4 linked regions of the Drosophila melanogaster genome follow. The protein of the gene in region 4 interacts with the protein of the main gene of each other region in a pairwise test. Each region holds a gene or a part of one and is shown on either strand. Other genes may lie near its edges.

Region 1 (5,418 bases), 8.6 Mb from region 4:
CATTTGCGGCACGCGATCACCTTACATGAGGTAACTTGGATCCCGAGGTGCTAAGTAAACTAAACTAATTGAATCTTTTTGCCATCTTTATTAGACGCGAGCAATGGCCACAGATACAGAAAATGTTTCCCAATTCTGAGATCCACTGGCTGGATGCCGGACATTTAGTGCACTTTGAAAAGCCGCAGGAGTTTCTAACAATAGTCAGCGAGTTCCTGAATAGAACTGAGTAGACCAAATTTTGATATTTTAACCAAATGTACAAAGAAGTCAATCGCGTAGATCGACTTTAGCTAAATTGGAAAGTGAACGCTTTGTTTTTCTTGGGAACGGGAATTCAAATTAATTTCACTTCAGAACTCGAGAAGACATTCTTCAACGATCTACGCAGATCTTCAAGAATCTTCACCGAAAAGAGCGGGATAGCAATATATATATTTTTTTTTTTGATATAAGCGTTCTGAACTTGATGATTTTTCAGAATATAATAAATTTCTTAAGCACCTTTAGTGCACGAAATGCCCTCGATTTAACCCCCTTAGAAAAGTTTCAATTTATAGTGGTGTATGTACATTTAAAATGTAATTTAATTTATCATTCTTGTTCGGCGTGTAATCGTTAGTGTTTTTTTTTTTTTGGATTTCCAGTTACGTTCGTCTTTTTCCATTTGGTTTTTGTTTAAAAAATATACATACACAGACACGAAAAAAATGCCATGAAGAAGCTGATAGATTTCGTATGATTTCGTATGCTGCATACAAAAATTGACGGCAAATGGATTTTCCTCAATTTTTTTTTTTTGAAAATTTCCAATTCGCTTCTCATAAGTTCTGTGTGTGCGTGTGTGTATACGTACGTATTTTATATATATGTATTTGTTGTTTCTTGTTGGGTGTGTGTGTGGAGTGTCCTTACTTATTAGGATTAAATAAGTGTGTACAAATACATATATAAATCAAGGGAAATCACATAGCACTTAAAATTATATAGTCAAAGTGGAAATCATTGATAAATGAACACAATCCGCGTGCTTCAGTGTGTTGTTGTTGTGTTTGTGTGTTAGTTTCCGTTTGCAGGAGATCATATCTTGATGCTAAATACATCAAACAGGAATGGTGGGTAAAACTTTGGTGTGCTAAGGCTAAAATGGCTGTGATAATATTCCTCGATTCGATTCGATGTGTTTGTGAGTGTGATTGTTGACATTGAGTGGGTGTTTCGTGTGTGTGTGTGTGTGACAAGTCATTGATTTTGTCTCACAGCTTCTGTAGTTTCTAGTTCTTTAGTTATTAGTTTTGCTCTAGTTGCAGTTCCATTATAGTTGAGTTTCTAGACTATATTGCCGCCATCGTAGGCGTAGTCGGCTTTGTTGTGCATGACGAGTCGGTTTCCCACAAAGTAAAAGCTGTCCGAGCGCGTCTCAAAGGGGCTCGATATCATCTCAGCAACTAAAAAAAAATGGAAAACGAACGAACATATTTATGTGAATTGCATTTCATTAATAAGTCCACATCCTACAAACCGATAACAAAAAATAAAAACCATGATAGCTGCTCGCAATCTGACCAATAGAAGCCTCATCTCACAGGCGCAAATCGTAAACGACCTTGACCCACAAACCCCTTCAACTTTTGGCAGCAACTTTCAATTGCGTGTCATGCTGGCTGGGATTATGTAAAAATTGCTCACCTAGGTCGGGTGGAAGGTTAGGAAACTCGTAGATGTGCTCAACCGTATTCTTCGAAAATGGAAAGCAAAAGCCGAACTCAAAGTCAAACGTCTTTAGCAGGCGATCGCGGAAGAAGTGGCGTTCGATCATACGAAAATTATTAAGCGGCTGGCTGCCCACAGTGAATTCCACACTGCAAATAAGGGAAACTTACAAATTGAGAGGCATTTAAAACAAATGCAAATACTGTATAACCTACGTGGCTCCCACTGTTTTGAGGTTGAGAAATGCCGGTGTGAACTGATAGCGCACATAGCGTCCGGCATTTGGATCGGCAGTGTCATCCAGTGACAATTTCTCGGCAGCCGCCAGCATGGTTTCATCCGAGGACAGTCCTTCCGGATATTGTTCACTCGGCGGTTTGGCGATCTCGAAGAGCACAGCGCCGCTCTCCAGGTCGCGAATCTTGAACCGCGTGAAATCAATCTCGAACACATTTGCATTGGCGGAGCAGAGATAGTCGTCCGTGATCTTGGTCAGATGGAGCACCTCGTCGGGAGTCACGCTGGAAGACTCCGCAGGCCGTTTGGCATCACCGGAGGCACCAGCGCCCGCTGCTGCAGCTCCCGACGATCCTCCACTGCCGCCGTTGGCCTCCACTCCACTGTTCGAAGAAGAGGATCCTGCGGCCGCGGAGGAAGACGTTGTCACTGCGCCTGCACCGGAGGATTGCACCGGATTTAGTTGCTTACCCACCACGCTCATTGTGCACGGAATGAATCTGGTGGTATTATTTGTCTATAGTCTGCGTTTCGGATTTCTCAAGCTGAACAGCTTTTTTAAGGCTCCTGGCTGGATGGCTGCTGCAGTGGTATCCTTTGATTTGAAGAAGCTACTCCGCTGTCTCACTCTGCGAATAGAAAGGAATAGGCATTGGTTATTAGGGAGTAAATAATAAAATATAGCACAAATACTTTTGAATTTCTATTACTTCAAACTAAACTGAATAATGAAATATCACATTTTTTTTTTAACATAGCAAAAAAAAAAAAAAGAAGTCATAGTTGTTAAGTTACTCACCAACACAAACACACACAAGTGTAGAGTTGTCATAAATTGTGCCAGGATTTTCTGGTGGAAATATAAGGCTTCGTCTCCGCTACCCTATTATCCTTTCGCTTTCCGCTCCTCACTATTAATTTTTGCCAAATATGAATAGTTATTTGGCGAAAAGCACAAAAATAAGTTAAGTATAAGGTATATAAGTTAAAATAAATTCAACATAAATGCAAACACTACTTACCCACACGAATTCAGGTTGCAAGTGTTGCCATAACATTTAGCTGTCAGCGACAACAACGTCCACGACCATTGCAACAACAGCAACAACAACAACAACACCGAACCGACGACGACAGCAACAAATGAAATTCGTTTGAAAATCACCAGCAACAGCAGCAACAACAACAACAACAACAACAAATGACCCAATTTCTGAAAAAGCTGCGCTCTCCTTTTTCCTTTTTTTTTCCTTTGTGTTTGTTTTTCCCTTTTCGGTTCGCGTCCTTTATGCGAATGTATGTGTGTGTGTGTGTGTTTTTATATGTTTATGTATGCGCAGGGATTCATTTATTAATTTGGTTTTAGTTGCTGTTGGCACTGCCCGAAAATCAATTAGATCAATTTGACCGGCAATGCTGCTGGTGTTGTTGTTGTCGTCCGCAAAAGCAACTTAACGCACTTAAACGCTAAACATTGCACCTTTTTTGCCCACTTTTTTTGCACTACTCAGCAATCGATAGATTATCGATGATGCATTACAGGAAATCGGTGAGACCGTTCGCGCATGGGGAAAAACTTACGACCAACGTTGCCACATACTCGCAAAAAAACATTTCTGCGTTCTAGCAGGGGTCACACTGTTGGCGCAATATTCAAAATATTCTACATTTTACATCTAGAAAAAAGGCTATTCAGATTTTTAACATTATTTATTGTATAACCGAAAGTAAGCGAACGTTTGCAGAAAGCTTAATCGGAAATAATGAGTATAGACAAGTATAAGTATAGATTTTCACATCTTAAGCTTAAATTGAAAACCCAAACTAAAAAATAAAATGCATATACCCCCGTCACTCGCCAGAGTAAACCACTATATACAAAGCAAATTCGAAAAGGAAACACTTTGGAAGCGTGCAAATGTGTTAAATGGCGTGTTGCGATCGCCTTCCCATGCATTTTTGTGGCCGACAATTAGTTAATATCCATGCAGCAGACTGCCGCTTGCTTCTCCCGCTTCTCAAGTGCGCCGTCGAGTGGTTTCCTTTCCTTTCGCTTCCCCTCCCTTCGCCTAGAATGCAGATAAGCCCGGCCTAAAACTCAAGTGTCCTCCTATCCACATCCCATCCCATTCCATATACAACGCACCCATACTCGGACCCATTTCGATTTCCATATTCAGACGCACGGGCGCCAATGCCAGATCATGTTTGTGCACTGCGAGAAATGCTGGCTATAATATTATTTAGATCTATTTCGATTTTTCACGCTTAGTGAGTCGCTATTTTAGTTTATAGATTTCATGTAAATAAAATAGCACTATGATATTAAGATAGTTTTTTTTTTCATATTCATACATAAATGTATTTTTTTCTTTCAGTGCGAGACGAAAGTACTTGAGTTCAATTCTAGCTCCTCCTTTTCACATTTTCTCTGCTTCTTGCCGCTGTTATTGTTGGCCTTAAGTGGGTATTTTAATATTCGCAGCCGGAGCCAAAGAAGTGTTAAGTTTCAGGGGCCACATATGCACTTATCCCCCGTCCACTGTCCACTGCCCCTGCCCCTGCCCCTGTTTTTTTTTCTCCATTGGCGTCCGCGTTTCCTGTATTTTTTTTTTGTAGTTTTTTTTTTTTTTTTTGTTTCTTACATTGGTATTGGTGTGTATCTGTGTGGCAGCACTGGGAACGTGTTCGGCTCTATCTTTAGTACAGTTTGACTGGAGATCTCCAAACTGACCCCCCCCCCCTTGCACCGCCGCCCCTCACTTGATTTATCCCCCAAAAACTCACATAAAATCTGCAGACAGCCGGGCACCTGAGGAATATGCCATCTGACAGGCCGAAAGGGTCGACAAAAGATCCAAGGAATTCGCGGGATAATCCATCTTTTGTATCAGCGCAAATGCCATAGGCAGGATTCGGTTTCATTTGAGTTAAATTTGCTGTTCCATGAGATTAAATATTTTCGAACCAATTTTTAATGACTGCAGCAGGTGGCCAATTTAAAAGTACTAACTCTATATTATTCAATTATATCAAAGGACACTTTTAAGGATAATTTTATTCGCCCAGAGGATGGTAACCCAAAAATACTTAACCTGTTTTCTTCAGAATTTATATACATACTAATGTATATAAGCTTTTCCAAATAGTAGCTACATCCGACTTATCACCGATCGATTTACATTTACATAGCAAATGAAACTTAACGTTCGATTGTTAGTTGATGAAATTTGTTTGAATATTTCTTTCTTTCACGGACGGACCATAGAACTTTTCGAGCCATAGAACTCAAGTACCCCCTCCTGTGTACTTCAATGCGTGTTTGTGTGTGCGTCTGTGTGCCTGGGTATCGAAAACAAACAGTAGAGCAGCAACAAAAACCAAAAATCGTGGGCGATAATATTCGTACTCGAATGGCCGAACAGGGGCGTGGCACAAAAAAAGGGGGCTAGAAATATTTTCCAAAGC
Region 2 (4,628 bases), on a different chromosome or scaffold from region 4:
CGCTCGATGCTCGATGGGTCCGTCCACCATTTTCGGTTCGTTTGCGGGCCTCGATGAAAAATTTGCAAATTGGAATTACTTATTTATTGATGCATGTTTGATGTGACGCTCTTGTGGAGGCTCCCAGCCTCAGGCCCCCCTTCTTGCGCACTCACTCTCATGTAACGAATCGCTTTTTTAGCTGCGGGCCACAAATGAAATCTGCAAACACAAACCATGCAAAGTACGGGGGAAAAAACCGAGGGTCGGCTCACATGTGTGAGAAATTGCTGTTTGTTTTATGCAAATGATCATCGCATTGCAGCTGGATTCGCTCTGCCGGTCGCCGTTCCAAATTTTCGGCTGCAATTAAAAACCGAAAGTGTGAAGGAAGTGTAGCTTTTTGCAGACCAGCATAATGAACCGGTTGAAAGATATTTGGCCAGAAAACTGCTGGTGTAGGGAAAAGGCCAATAATTCACTTTCTCAAGTCATTTGGAAGGGTTCCCGACTGTTTTATACAATTCGTTTTCGATTGTCAATTTATATTTTAGATGAACACATAAAATTTAGACACTCAACAGATATTTGAACTATAGAAACGATTTGAGCTGGAGCGGATAACGGAAGCGGGTTCTACATCATCCCACTGTCAATGTCACGCACCTCTACTTGCTCCATGCCGGGAATAGCCTTGACCATTTCATTCATCTCCTCGGCAGTGGGACCGTCATTGCTGGCAGAAGCGCTCATTCCGCCACCAGCGCCCATTCCGCCGAATCCACCTCCCATTCCTCCCATACCTCCCATACCACCCATGCCTCCCATACCACCCATGCCACCCAATCCACTTAAGGCTGCCAGCTCCTCTAAGCCACCCATGTTCATGTCCAGTCCATCATCCATTCCGCCGCCAGCTCCTGACAACTTGGACAAAAGATCATCGTTCCGGGAGTCGGTGATAACCACCTCGGTGGTGCTCAGAAGAGAGGCCACTCCAGCTGCATCCGTGATGGCGGTCCGCAGCACCTTTGTGGGATCAATAATGCCCTTCTCGACCAGCCGACAGTACTCATCGCCCATGGCATCGTAGCCGTAGTCTTCCGAGCCATTCAACACCTTGGCCACCACCATTGGGCCATCAACTCCGGCGTTTTGAGCTATGGTCTGGCAAGGCATCCTCAGGGCATTGCAGACGATATCGACGCCCTTCTGGAGATCTGCACTCTCCGTTTTGAGTTCCTGGAGGTAGGGAATGCAGCGCAAAAAGGCCGTACCGCCACCTGGGACAATTCCCTCTTCGATGGCCGCTCGAGTGGCATTCAAGGCGTCCACCACACGGTCCTTTTTCTCATTCACCTCAACTTCACTGCCTCCACCAATGTGCAGCACTGCCACGCCCTTCGTGAGGGCGGAGAGGCGTTGGCGCAGACGATCCCGCTGCTCTGGCTTGATTTGCTTTTCCGCCAGTTCATCTTGAATTTGCTGGATGCGCATTTCCAAAAGTCCTGTCTTGGGTTTGCCCTGCAGGAGCATGGTGCTGTCCTTGCTAATCACAGCCTCGCCAACCTGACCCAGATCCTCCAGCTTAGCCTCCTCCATTTTGGAATAGTTGATGTCATCGCCGAAAATAGTTGCTCCCGTGGCAGCGGATATATCGCCTATAAGCTCCTTGCGGTGGTGTCCATAGCTGGGCGATTTGACGGCGCACACCTGGAGGCCCAACCTGAGCTTGTTCAGGACCAAAGCATTGAGGGCTTCCCCGCTGATGTCCTCGGCTATGATGATCAGGGGACGACGCTGCCTCAGGGATTGCTCCAGACCTTTAACTATTTGCGAGAGTCCAGTGATCTTCTTCAGGGATATCATTACAAGGGCGTTGGCAAACTCCACCTTGGACCCCTTGGAGCTGTTTACGAAAAAGGGCGACACATAGCCGTTGTCGAAGCGCAGGCCCTGGATAATATTTAGCTCGTCCTTCAGGCGCTTGCCATCCTTTACAGTAATAGTTCCTCTTGGACCCACTTTGTCGGTGGCCTCACCAATGAGCCGCCCAATTTCAGTATCCCCGTTCGCGGAGAGGGTGGCTACTTGTTGGATCTCCTCACGCGTTTCCACTGCCTTGGACATTTCCTTCAGCTTGTCCTTTACGACGTCAACAGCTAACATGACACCTCGACGAATCTCCACGGGATTAGCCCCCATGGTAATCTGATTGAATCCTTCCTTGGCAATCGCTCGAGCCAAAACTGTTGCTGTGGTCGTGCCGTCACCCGCCGACTCATTCGTATTATCGGCCACATCCTGGACCAACTTGGCGCCCAGATTCATGTGCTGGTCCTTTAGGGCAATCGAGCGCGCGACCGTGAAGCCGTCCTTGGTGATCTTCGGCGAGGTCCATGGTCGCTCCACGATCACACTGCGACCCTTGGGCCCCATGGTCACAGCAACGGCATCAGCCAGAATATCAACGCCCCGGATCATCATTGCCCGTACTCCGGAGCCAAAGCGCACGTCCTTCGAGTACATCCGCGCGAAACAGCGACTAGAGGTAATCGCCTTGGGCACACACGACCGAAACATTTTGCACTTAAGTTTGAAACTATAATAAAAAAAAAACTTTCAAAACTTTTGGTTCTAATATTTTTTCGTTTGATCTCAGACACGAAGTGAGTGCAACTAATATGTAGGTTGTTGACTCGATACTGACGGACTAGACGGACTCGTTCAAGGCCTACTCCCATATTCAAATCCAAATTTTGTTTCCATTATCTTTAAGCTTCTCGTTTTATGTAACATGTGCAAGCCATTCTTCTTTATTTATATTGCTTTTCCTTGAGCACTTTTCTCTTTTTTCTTTTTTCTCTTTGCGGACAAGTTTCCAGGCAATCGCCAGATTTCACAACATTCATTTGTCTGGCGCCTGCCCGTCTGCGATCTGCGGCTCTGAAATCTTCGACAACAGAAGCCGTGCCTTCTGTTTGCCGGAATAAATTAGCGTGCAGCTAATAAGCCCCGACATTCTGGGTGGAGTCTGCCCATTTGCAGTTCTATTCGCCTCCATCGGCTGAGGCTGACCCACAAACAAGACCAGCGTGTGCAGATTTCCCAGAACTGCGGTGCGACTGTTCTGCACCGGAGGATGGATGCATTTTCCTCGGCTGACCGTTCCCATTTCGAAGGCAGCTGTCAAAAATTGTGTGCTGCCTACTGCAAACTAAAGAAATTCACACATTTTGCTGCAAGCCAAACGGCAAATGGAAATGGAAATGGGGAGTTTGAGGCGGAGATGGAAATGGAGATGGGATGAAAATGTTGGGTGCACAGCGCGCAAGAAGGCATTACTTTCGCACGATGAATTGCACTTAGGTATGAATGTTTAGAAATAGGTTTGCATATAAATTCAATGCGATTTATATGAGCTATCTCTCGTATTCTATACGTATAAAATAATGTCACATTTAGTTCAGTAGGTATAACTTTTTTCTGTGTGCCGCAGACGGGAATTGGAACTGGGGTCGGAATCGGGATCCGTTTCCTGGCCGCTTGACGCGTTGATTGCCATGTGCAAGCGGTAGCACAGTAGCCGGGTTTTGTGTCAAAAGCACGTCACCGATTTGAAGGGGAAGGGCGGAGGAGCTGATTGATGAGGCATTTGCATGTTCGACGACTCTTCTTCCTCTCGCAACCTTTCTCCCCATCTGCGCCAACTCTGCGACATGTGAAAGTGTCCATGGTGGGAAGACCACCTGGTGGGCTGTGCGATAATCGTAACTACAAGCGATCTGCAGGGTCTCTTGTCGGCTACAAATTACTTTCGCTGGATAGCGAATAAGCCTCAATCTATGATTAATTGCAGGCCATCTTCGGGGATTCTCCAATTCATTTCAGTATTTTTGGTGGGCCAAAATTAACCCACTGACCGTTGGCTGATGATTTCCTATTGGTTTTGGCAGATTTTTTGCCGGCTCTGTCATTACCCGCGGATGGATCCGTGGATCGAGCAGATGAAGTCGTTCGGGTAATTGTGGAGCAGACAGCAAAGAAAGTTTTAATGAGAAATGGATAGACTGCAGACGATAGACTGGCAGTTCAATCTGAGCATTTGCGTAAGTACCAGGCAGACGAAATTCCTGGATCTGGGATCTGGGGCAGCCAAGTGCAGATTGAGCTGATGGGAGCGATCTATCGATGAACTGCACTAAAATAAATAATTTGGTGGTCGTCATAGCAAATTATCAGGTTCAACAATTTTAAATGGCCAATAATTTTGATCTTGAATTACAGTAATTAACGGGCATATAAAATGTGTGTGTCATGTTTCAATTCTGGCCATACGCTAGCTGTTAGTGCATATTTCTGAGTGTAATGAGGCAGCTAAAGCTTAGCCTCAATTTAGCCTTTGCCCCCCTAGTTTTTTTGACCCAACTGTGGCCAACTCTGCGTCGCGGAATGAGTGCCTCTCATATTGTCACGTACCGGGCGGTGTCAAGAGTGCATGAAAATCGTTGGCCGCATTCACTGTAATTAACTTTTTGACTCGATTTGACTGAGGCTGGGAGCTGGGAGCTGGGAGCTGGGAGCTGGAGCCCACCAGTTCGACCGGCCACCGTGTCGTATAAGCAACTGGCACCGATCGAAAATCGCAG
Region 3 (4,014 bases), on a different chromosome or scaffold from region 4:
CAAGAACCAGGGCCAGAGCGGCGGCGCCAACGAGGACATGATGCCGGATTACATGAACATTCTGGGCATGATTTTCTCCATGTGTGGACTGATGATGAAGGTAATAACACCCCAAAGATTACAACCAAGTGACTTGGCATTTATCAGTATGTAACCCACCTACACAGCTCAAGTGGTGCGCCTGGTTTGCGCTGTACTGCTCCTGCATTAGTTTCGCCAGTTCTCGGGCCAGCGACGATGCCAAACAGGTGCTCTCCTCCTTTATGTTGAGCGTCAGTGCGGTGGTGATGTCCTACCTCCAGAATCCCGCTGCCATGACCCCACCATGGGCTTCCTAGCACTGGACCTAAGATAACTATTTTAAATTTAATGTAATTGAACAGTTGAGAGCCTCGGTTTTGTTCGACGCTCAGTAAAAAAGTACGTACGTAGTTGGTTGCCTTGTGAATTCAGGACAGCTTTCTGGAACTTGACCTTATAGCTATATAGGTACCAACTCCAAGACTTGCCTAGTGTAGATGAAGGTATATTTTATTGCATTCCGAAAGGGATTAAAAGGGGACTAACATGAATACAGGCGGCTGGGCTCAATTCAATAATTAATAACTTAGGTAGGCGGTGATGTGGAGGTAGTACTGCTAATGAGATGACTCCTCGCACGGCGATTGTGGCTAGGTGGTGAGCAGGTAGTAGGCGAACAGCATGAATGCCACAATGTAGACGGTGCCGAAGATCAGGACGTATTAAATCTCTCCAAAGTTCTTGTGTCCGGTTTGCTTGGCATGCTCCTGGGCCTGCACCTGGCCGACCAGCCTGACATCGCACTGCATGCAGCGCAGCGTGAATTTATCCACATTGGTGTATTGGCGGGAGGACTGCGCCTCGTTGGCCAACTGCTCGGCCTGCTGATAGACGCCCAGCTCTTCCACCGGGAAGATGGTGGCCGGCGCAGCACTCGGCGATGTCTCCATGTACAGCGGATCGTAGTGGATGCCATCGAAGAGCAGGAAGACACGCAGTCCAAAGTTCTTGTCCTCGCCAAAGCGATTGATAATGGCGTTTTGTATGTCCACCACATCGATCTCAATGCCATAGTAGTTGGACAGTATGGACACTTCGATGGCGCCGCCCCACGAATCCGCCTTCTGTATCCAGGCGCAGTACTCGGCATTCGATTTGCCCAGCACGGCGTCGTTGTAGCTCTGCGGATCGGCGGCCACCTCCTGCGCAATGATGTGACGCATCATTTCGCTGCCCTCGTTGTCCACCTTCCCGTTGAGCACGAATCGTATGCTGGTGAAGAGGCACGAATTGTCCGCCGGCACCACCTTCTTCAGCAGTATGCCATTAAAGTCGCCATTCGGTCCGCTTTCCGTCGGCGCCACTGGCAGCTGGTAGTCTGCTGCCTGGGCGACTGGACCGCCAGCGGTTTCCTGCAGCAGCTGTGCCTCCTCCTCGGCCTGCAGACGACGCGCCAGCGCCTCGTCATCCTCCACGGTGGTGCCGCCAGGCACAGGGGCAGCAGGAGCAGGGGCAGCCTTCTCCTCCACAATCAGCGTCTCTCCGCTGTTGATTCCGACCGCCTTGAGGGCGCGCTGCTCCTGCTGCTGCGAGAGATCCAATGGCTTGGGCGGATAGCCTACTAGGACGTGCAATTGCGTCGCTTCGATGTCGGTGGCCTGGACTATTTTCGTTTTCAGCTCCCCCAGCGTCGTATGCTCGTTCAGGTCGTTGACAATGAATTGACCTTTTTTGGACTTGAGCTTCACACTGAACGAACCCGTCATTGTATCCGTTTGTTCTCTTCGTGTGGGCCTGCGATGGAAATTGGGCTAATTTTGAGTTGGTTTTTGTGTGCAATTGGATAACTGATAAATTTTGTAATTTGACTAATTTGTTTCTTTTTTTTTATTTGTTTGTTACAGCGTATCGATGCTATCGAATTTCGATATCTGTTGGTATTTTTTGTGCTTTAATATATAATTATAATCGATTAGTGCAGTGAGTAATGTTGTTGGCGAGGCCAATCGATTTTTTGTTCTCTTGCAAACTTTTTGATAAGAGTGGCAGCACTGGAAAATTGGCGCTATTTATTTAAATTTTCAAAAGTGGGAAAATCAAAGAGGAGATTTATGTATTTTCCTCTTTTCTACTCCATTTTGTAAATCTTGATTGATAATTATGGAAAGCAAATCTTAATTAAAATGTAAACACATTTAATTATAAGAATAAAATTACTTCGATTTTACAGATTTTAGCTTGGATGTGAAATATTTAGAAATTTACAAATAACTCTACATTCGACTTTTAATTTACTCAATGCAGCTAATTTCGAAAAGTTGGCAGGTCGGCATTTTCAAACCGCCTGCTTAAATTTAAATCTCAAAATCTTATCAATTTTGCGCAATGGGTTATTCGCCGTCTGCCAGCATACACACTTAAAAATATAACTATATTCGGATAATTCAGCTACTCTAGCCTATTATGGAGGTGTGAACGAAAAGCTAATGGCTGATCTGAACGTTAAGGCCAATGTCAAGTTGCTAATTAATATTTAGCAGAGATTCCGCTCGCAGCTAATGGCCAAGTCAAATAGAACCCAGAACCAAGGAAACACCGATTAGCAAAAAGAAGTGAAGCCGGAGAAACCGCAAGTCAACAAATTGCCCAAACATAAGGCGTCGCAAGTTCAACAATGGCACCACAATAAGGTAATCTACTTGGCTACGAAAAAGGGAACCTGGCTTTTGTTATCACATTGCGTGTTGGACTAAAATCACTTTTAATAGTCCAAACAGATTGATATACCACCCCGCCCGCCGACATGTGAATCACTGAATCTTTGGCTGATGCTTCGCGTTGTTTTAGTTTCTATGAAAGACGAGCGGTCTGCCGGCCGAGCAACTCACTCTCAACTGAACAGGCATATAAATAGACGGGTCGGCGGGGTCTGGTGATCAGTGCAAGCAGGTCTGTCAACGCGCAGTGCGAATCCATCGATCGATTACTACATACATCTAGCCACATACAACATGAAGTTCTTGCTCCTGGTGCGTCACTAAAAATCGACACGGAATACCAAGGAACTTTACTGACCCTTCCTTTACAGAGCGTCTTCCTTTGCCTTGCCGTGTGCTTCATGGCCACCAGTGCTGCTCCTCGCGAGGAGGCCATTCCCGATGGCTTCGAAGGTCCTGGCAGTGAGTCCGTCAACCCATCCGACGACCAATCCTTCCTGCTCAAGCTGAAGCTGCTCAAGAAGCTGCTGTTCCTGGGCTAGACACCACACCCTCACATTTATGGATTTATAGTTTAACTTAACATGTGTTTAGGTTTTTAAGAAGAAAAACAAGAGTGAAATTAAAGAAAGTATTTGGTAACGAAACCTTTACTTATTCATTTTTTATTGCAAGGTTAAAACAAAATGGTGCCCAAAAAAAAAACAAGTTCGCTTCTTAAGTCTTTTGTTTGAAGAGGTCCAACCTTCAATTCCAAATAATTTTCTTTTTTTACGATCACATTAAAATCATTCCTAATACTACTAATACACCTGAATGTTAAAATTTATGGTAAGTTGAAAGGCTGGAACCATGTGCTTCAACTTGATGGCAATCATGTCCGATTTTTCGTGACCAGCTCTCAATATGTCAATATGTGATGAGTTATCGTTACTTTTTACATAATTTTGATACTTGAAAATATTTAATATATTATATTTAGTTAAGCTATAATATTACTGGCATATCAAGTTAACTAATCATGCCAATTAATGAAAGTAGGTATGATCATTAATCTCACAGTGGGCTCCTTGTATTAGCACATCATTGAACCCACTTGATTCATTTACGACTGAGATTGGCCAATATTTATACGCATGTAAGGAAGATTCCGTTCGCTTTTCACACTCTCTACCCAGAAACGATCCGAAACGGGTTTCTTATTCAGATCTAGGCAAACAAAAACCCGACCCGCTGCCAGTCATTAGCTCCTTTTTGGACACACATGGAGATCTCA
Region 4 (3,696 bases):
AGTATTAAAATGTTCTGAAAATTAGTGTGCCCGTGTGAGAAAATTAATCGAAAAGACGGTATAGCAAGCGATTAAATATCGATAACGATATAATGGTGAAGTGCTGTTGAAATGATGCAGTCAACCAAAATATTTGATTATATTTGCCAATTATGCAAATATAAATCGGCAGAGAAACATTATTTTCTCAGAAATGTATCCAAAAAGCCAGGCTTACACAGACAATATGCCACCGTTAGTCTCTCCAAATATCGATAACTTCTGTTTATACATTGCTTCAACTGAAGGGTTTAAGGTCGCTCTTATCGAAATCTGTAAAAGCCCGATTTTTGCCGATAACAATACCATAGAATCAGGCTCATTTAAAATTATTTGAAAACTTTAACAAGTTATGTAATCATTCAAAAACCAATCGACTTAAAAAAAATATCGACACATTTCTGTTATATATATATTACTTCCAAATATAGCAAATGAAAAAAACAATTTAAAGTAATACTCATACTATTTTAGGTATTTCAACGGTTTATACCAAATAAAAAGGCAAAAATAAATATTTAAATGCTTATGAGTCGGCATTTTTAAAACTACACACAGAGTGAAACTTTATTCAACAACAGTAAACATATTTATGTGTATAATGGATGTATTATATTAATAATTTTCCAATGTGGCTGGTAATTGAAGAGCGAAAACAGTAGCATTTCAGAGCATAGCGCATATGTATGTAGGTGATGCTCCACCGGGGAGCAATATATATATAAGTTATGTGATGCCATTTTCAGGCCGTTTCTGAAGTGTCTCACCCCATTCTACCGCGCCCTAATCTTTAACTTTTACGTAGAGTGTGGGTGGGTAGTGTTCTTGGTGTTCCACATTTAATCCTTGCTCTGCATGTACTTGATCAGGTCGATGACGCGGTTGGAGTAGCCAAACTCGTTGTCGTACCAAGAGATCAGCTTCACGAACTTGTCGTTTAGCGAAATGCCAGCCTTGGCATCGAACACCGACGAGTGGGTGTCGCTGAGGAAATCGGTAGAAACGACCTCCTCATCGGTGTATCCCAGGATACCCTTCAGGGGTCCGTTGGCGGCCTCCTGAACCTTGGCCTTAATTTCATCATAGGACGCACCCTTGCCCAAGCGCACGGTCAAATCGACCACGGAAACGTTGGGAGTGGGCACACGGAATGCCATTCCGGTGAGCTTACCGTTGAGGGCGGGGATAACCTTGCCCACGGCCTTGGCAGCTCCAGTGGAAGCTGGAATGATGTTCTGGGCAGCGCCACGTCCATCACGCCACAACTTGCCGGAAGGTCCATCGACGGTCTTCTGGGTAGCGGTGGTGGCATGAACGGTGGTCATCAGACCCTCGACGATCTCGAAGTTGTCGTTGATCACCTTGGCCAGAGGAGCCAAGCAGTTGGTGGTGCACGATGCGTTGGAGACCACCTTCATGTCGGGCTTGTAGGCATCCAAGTTGACGCCGCAAACGAACATGGGAGCATCGGCGGATGGGGCCGAGATGATAACCTTCTTGGCACCGCCCTTCAAGTGAGTGGATGCCTTGTCGATGGTGGTGAACACGCCAGTGGACTCCACGATGTATTCGGCACCAGCGCTGGCCCAGTTGATGTTGGCCGGGTCGCGTTCGCTGAAGACGGTGATCTTCTGGCCGTTGACCACCAGGAAACCGCCCTCGGCGGCAACGGTGCCCTTAAAACGTCCGTGGGTCGAATCGAACTTGAACAGGTAGACCATGTAGTTCACATCGATGAAGGGATCGTTGACGGCCACAACGTTGGCGCCCTTATCAATGGCGGCGCGGAGAACCAAGCGGCCGATGCGACCAAATCCATTGATACCAATCTTCGACATGGTTAACTTTTTGTTTATCTGGAAAGTAATGTATGTATATGTAAAGCAGTTAGTACTTGGAAAGTTTTCCGCGGAATTGAGGGAAACACTACCTATCGGCTTGCTTGCAAGGAATCGACTGTGATGGCTGAGAAATTTTGAGCGCTTTCTATGGGCGAAAACTCGGGCGAAAAATTGTTCAAAGTCAGATGAAGGACGTGCATGTCAAGCTCGAGAGCGGCTACCGCAATAAAAAAGAGCTTTTGCTCTCAGTAACGTGAAAGCTCAATGCTACCCAATAGACTTTTTGCAAGCATCATTATATGAATATAATAAGTAGATATGTACATAAGATACGCTTAACTTTAAAAACTTCTGATCTTAGACAGTTAAAGTGACCTATAAAGTATATGGATTTTTTAATTTATACGGACAAATGTTTATTGGGATATTTTTATGGCCATTTCACCTGCTCAATTTTGTTGACGGAAGTTGAGCTTTCTTGTGAGCTTAGTTGCCGGCAATTACATACGTGCATATATAGGCACACGAAACATACACATATATGAGCACGTCTGATGAACATCAATTGGTTATATTGTACATAAATATGTACATAAGTAAATGCAAATGGAAAAATCCTAACATCCCCACATAAATACATATTCATCAATTTCATTAATATTAAAATTTAGAGGTCATATTCTGAGCAAATTGAAGTTTCGCCGGTACGTGACATTAATCTGTACAATACATGTACATATGTACAAAGATACATATACATGTAAATATGTATATATCTTCTATGCATAACTACAATATTAGATGAAATAATTGTCTAAGTAATTAAATTATCCGTTTTGATGATTTCATTTAAGCAATTGTGCTGTTGTCATCCCATTGTTAAAATGAAAAACACCTGACAGCTCAAGTAGGCATCCAAATTTCATGAATTTTAAACGCTAATGGTAATAAATAGTGTTAGTCACAAAATTCCATGTACCCATAACAACGAAATTGTATAACTTTATGATGAAAACTAAGTGAATGTGACCTTTTGAGTCACGCAGAATTCATTTACCTTTTTTTATTATATATAAACATGTATATACATATGTTCTTAAAATCAGCAGATCCCGTTTATATAAATATTAAAACATATGTATACGAACGATATATAATCAAAATCAATTAATTTGGGAGTATTTTATTCATACAATCATTTGTAGTAAAAAAAAAGGTATCTGCAAATTAATCATTTCTCCTTCCCCAAACTGAATAATCGATATTGTAATCATTTAACATTCTTTTTATTCTTTTCATTCTTTTTATATATTTATCGATTTGTTTTCAGTGCAACCCTTAATTATGAACATAGCAGTGAAAATTCAAATAAGCGCGCCAACATTAAAATGTTGAAATATGCAATTTGACAAGAACTCAACATTTCTGTTGCCTTATCTTTTACATTTTATAAATTATTTCTCGAATAAGTATTAAATATTTTAGTGCGTCATGTTTATTTATTAATACTTGGGCTGGGCAAAAAAGTTCGTTCCTTTTCAGTGAGTCATCGGTTTTACTGATAAGCAAACATTTCACTTGTTTTTTAACCTCTCATCTTTATATTGTTGAAACGATAAATGTATTTCAGCTTGGTGCTAAATTATTGCAGCAAAGTCAAAAACAATGCTTACATCTTACCATTAAGATCCATTGAAAGATGACTTCTAGATTTATACATTACCGAAAAAAAGGATCCGATTAGAAAAGTATCCCTGAAAGTGAATAAAACACCTGCCAATGTTGTGGAAGTCTTACTGTCCTTCGAGTTTGTGGG

What was found.
Region 1: the proteins of Gapdh2 (region 4) and unc-119 interact in a two-hybrid assay, tested with the Drosophila melanogaster proteins (one large-scale study listed by BioGRID).
Region 2: the proteins of Gapdh2 (region 4) and Hsp60B interact in a two-hybrid assay, tested with the Drosophila melanogaster proteins (one large-scale study listed by BioGRID).
Region 3: the proteins of Gapdh2 (region 4) and Yod1 interact in a two-hybrid assay, tested with the Drosophila melanogaster proteins (one large-scale study listed by BioGRID).

What each region holds. Positions count from the first base shown.
Region 1 is NC_004354.4:7,287,817-7,293,234, forward strand, and holds unc-119 (unc-119), read right to left. Parts: upstream 3,483-5,418; 5' UTR 2,977-3,482; exon of another isoform or gene 2,973-2,976; intron 2,862-2,972; 5' UTR 2,750-2,861; intron 2,580-2,749; 5' UTR 2,435-2,579; coding exon 1,929-2,434; intron 1,863-1,928; coding exon 1,690-1,862; intron 1,449-1,689; coding exon 1,330-1,448; 3' UTR 551-1,329; downstream 1-550. Other genes in the region: CG2059 (uncharacterized protein), read left to right, coding at 1-30, 95-233. UniProt on the Drosophila melanogaster protein: Myristoyl-binding protein that acts as a cargo adapter: specifically binds the myristoyl moiety of a subset of N-terminally myristoylated proteins and is required for their localization.
Region 2 is NT_033779.5:726,442-731,069, reverse strand, and holds Hsp60B (heat shock protein 60B), read right to left. Parts: upstream 2,709-4,628; 5' UTR 2,563-2,708; coding exon 616-2,562; 3' UTR 506-615; downstream 1-505. UniProt on the Drosophila melanogaster protein: Prevents misfolding and promotes the refolding and proper assembly of unfolded polypeptides generated under stress conditions.
Region 3 is NT_037436.4:5,132,164-5,136,177, reverse strand, and holds Yod1 (Yod1 deubiquitinase), read right to left. Parts: upstream 2,308-4,014; 5' UTR 2,239-2,307; intron 1,959-2,238; exon of another isoform or gene 1,833-1,958; 5' UTR 1,788-1,832; coding exon 744-1,787; coding exon of another isoform or gene 672-743; 3' UTR 508-671; downstream 1-507. Other genes in the region: CG10674 (uncharacterized protein), read left to right, coding at 1-100, 168-338; CG15213 (uncharacterized protein), read left to right, coding at 3,033-3,050, 3,110-3,280. UniProt on the Drosophila melanogaster protein: Hydrolase that can remove conjugated ubiquitin from proteins and may therefore play an important regulatory role at the level of protein turnover by preventing degradation. Involved in the regulation of DNA damage repair.
Region 4 is NC_004354.4:15,866,517-15,870,212, reverse strand, and holds Gapdh2 (glyceraldehyde 3 phosphate dehydrogenase 2), read right to left. Parts: upstream 2,069-3,696; 5' UTR 1,970-2,068; intron 1,896-1,969; 5' UTR 1,878-1,895; coding exon 879-1,877; 3' UTR 552-878; downstream 1-551.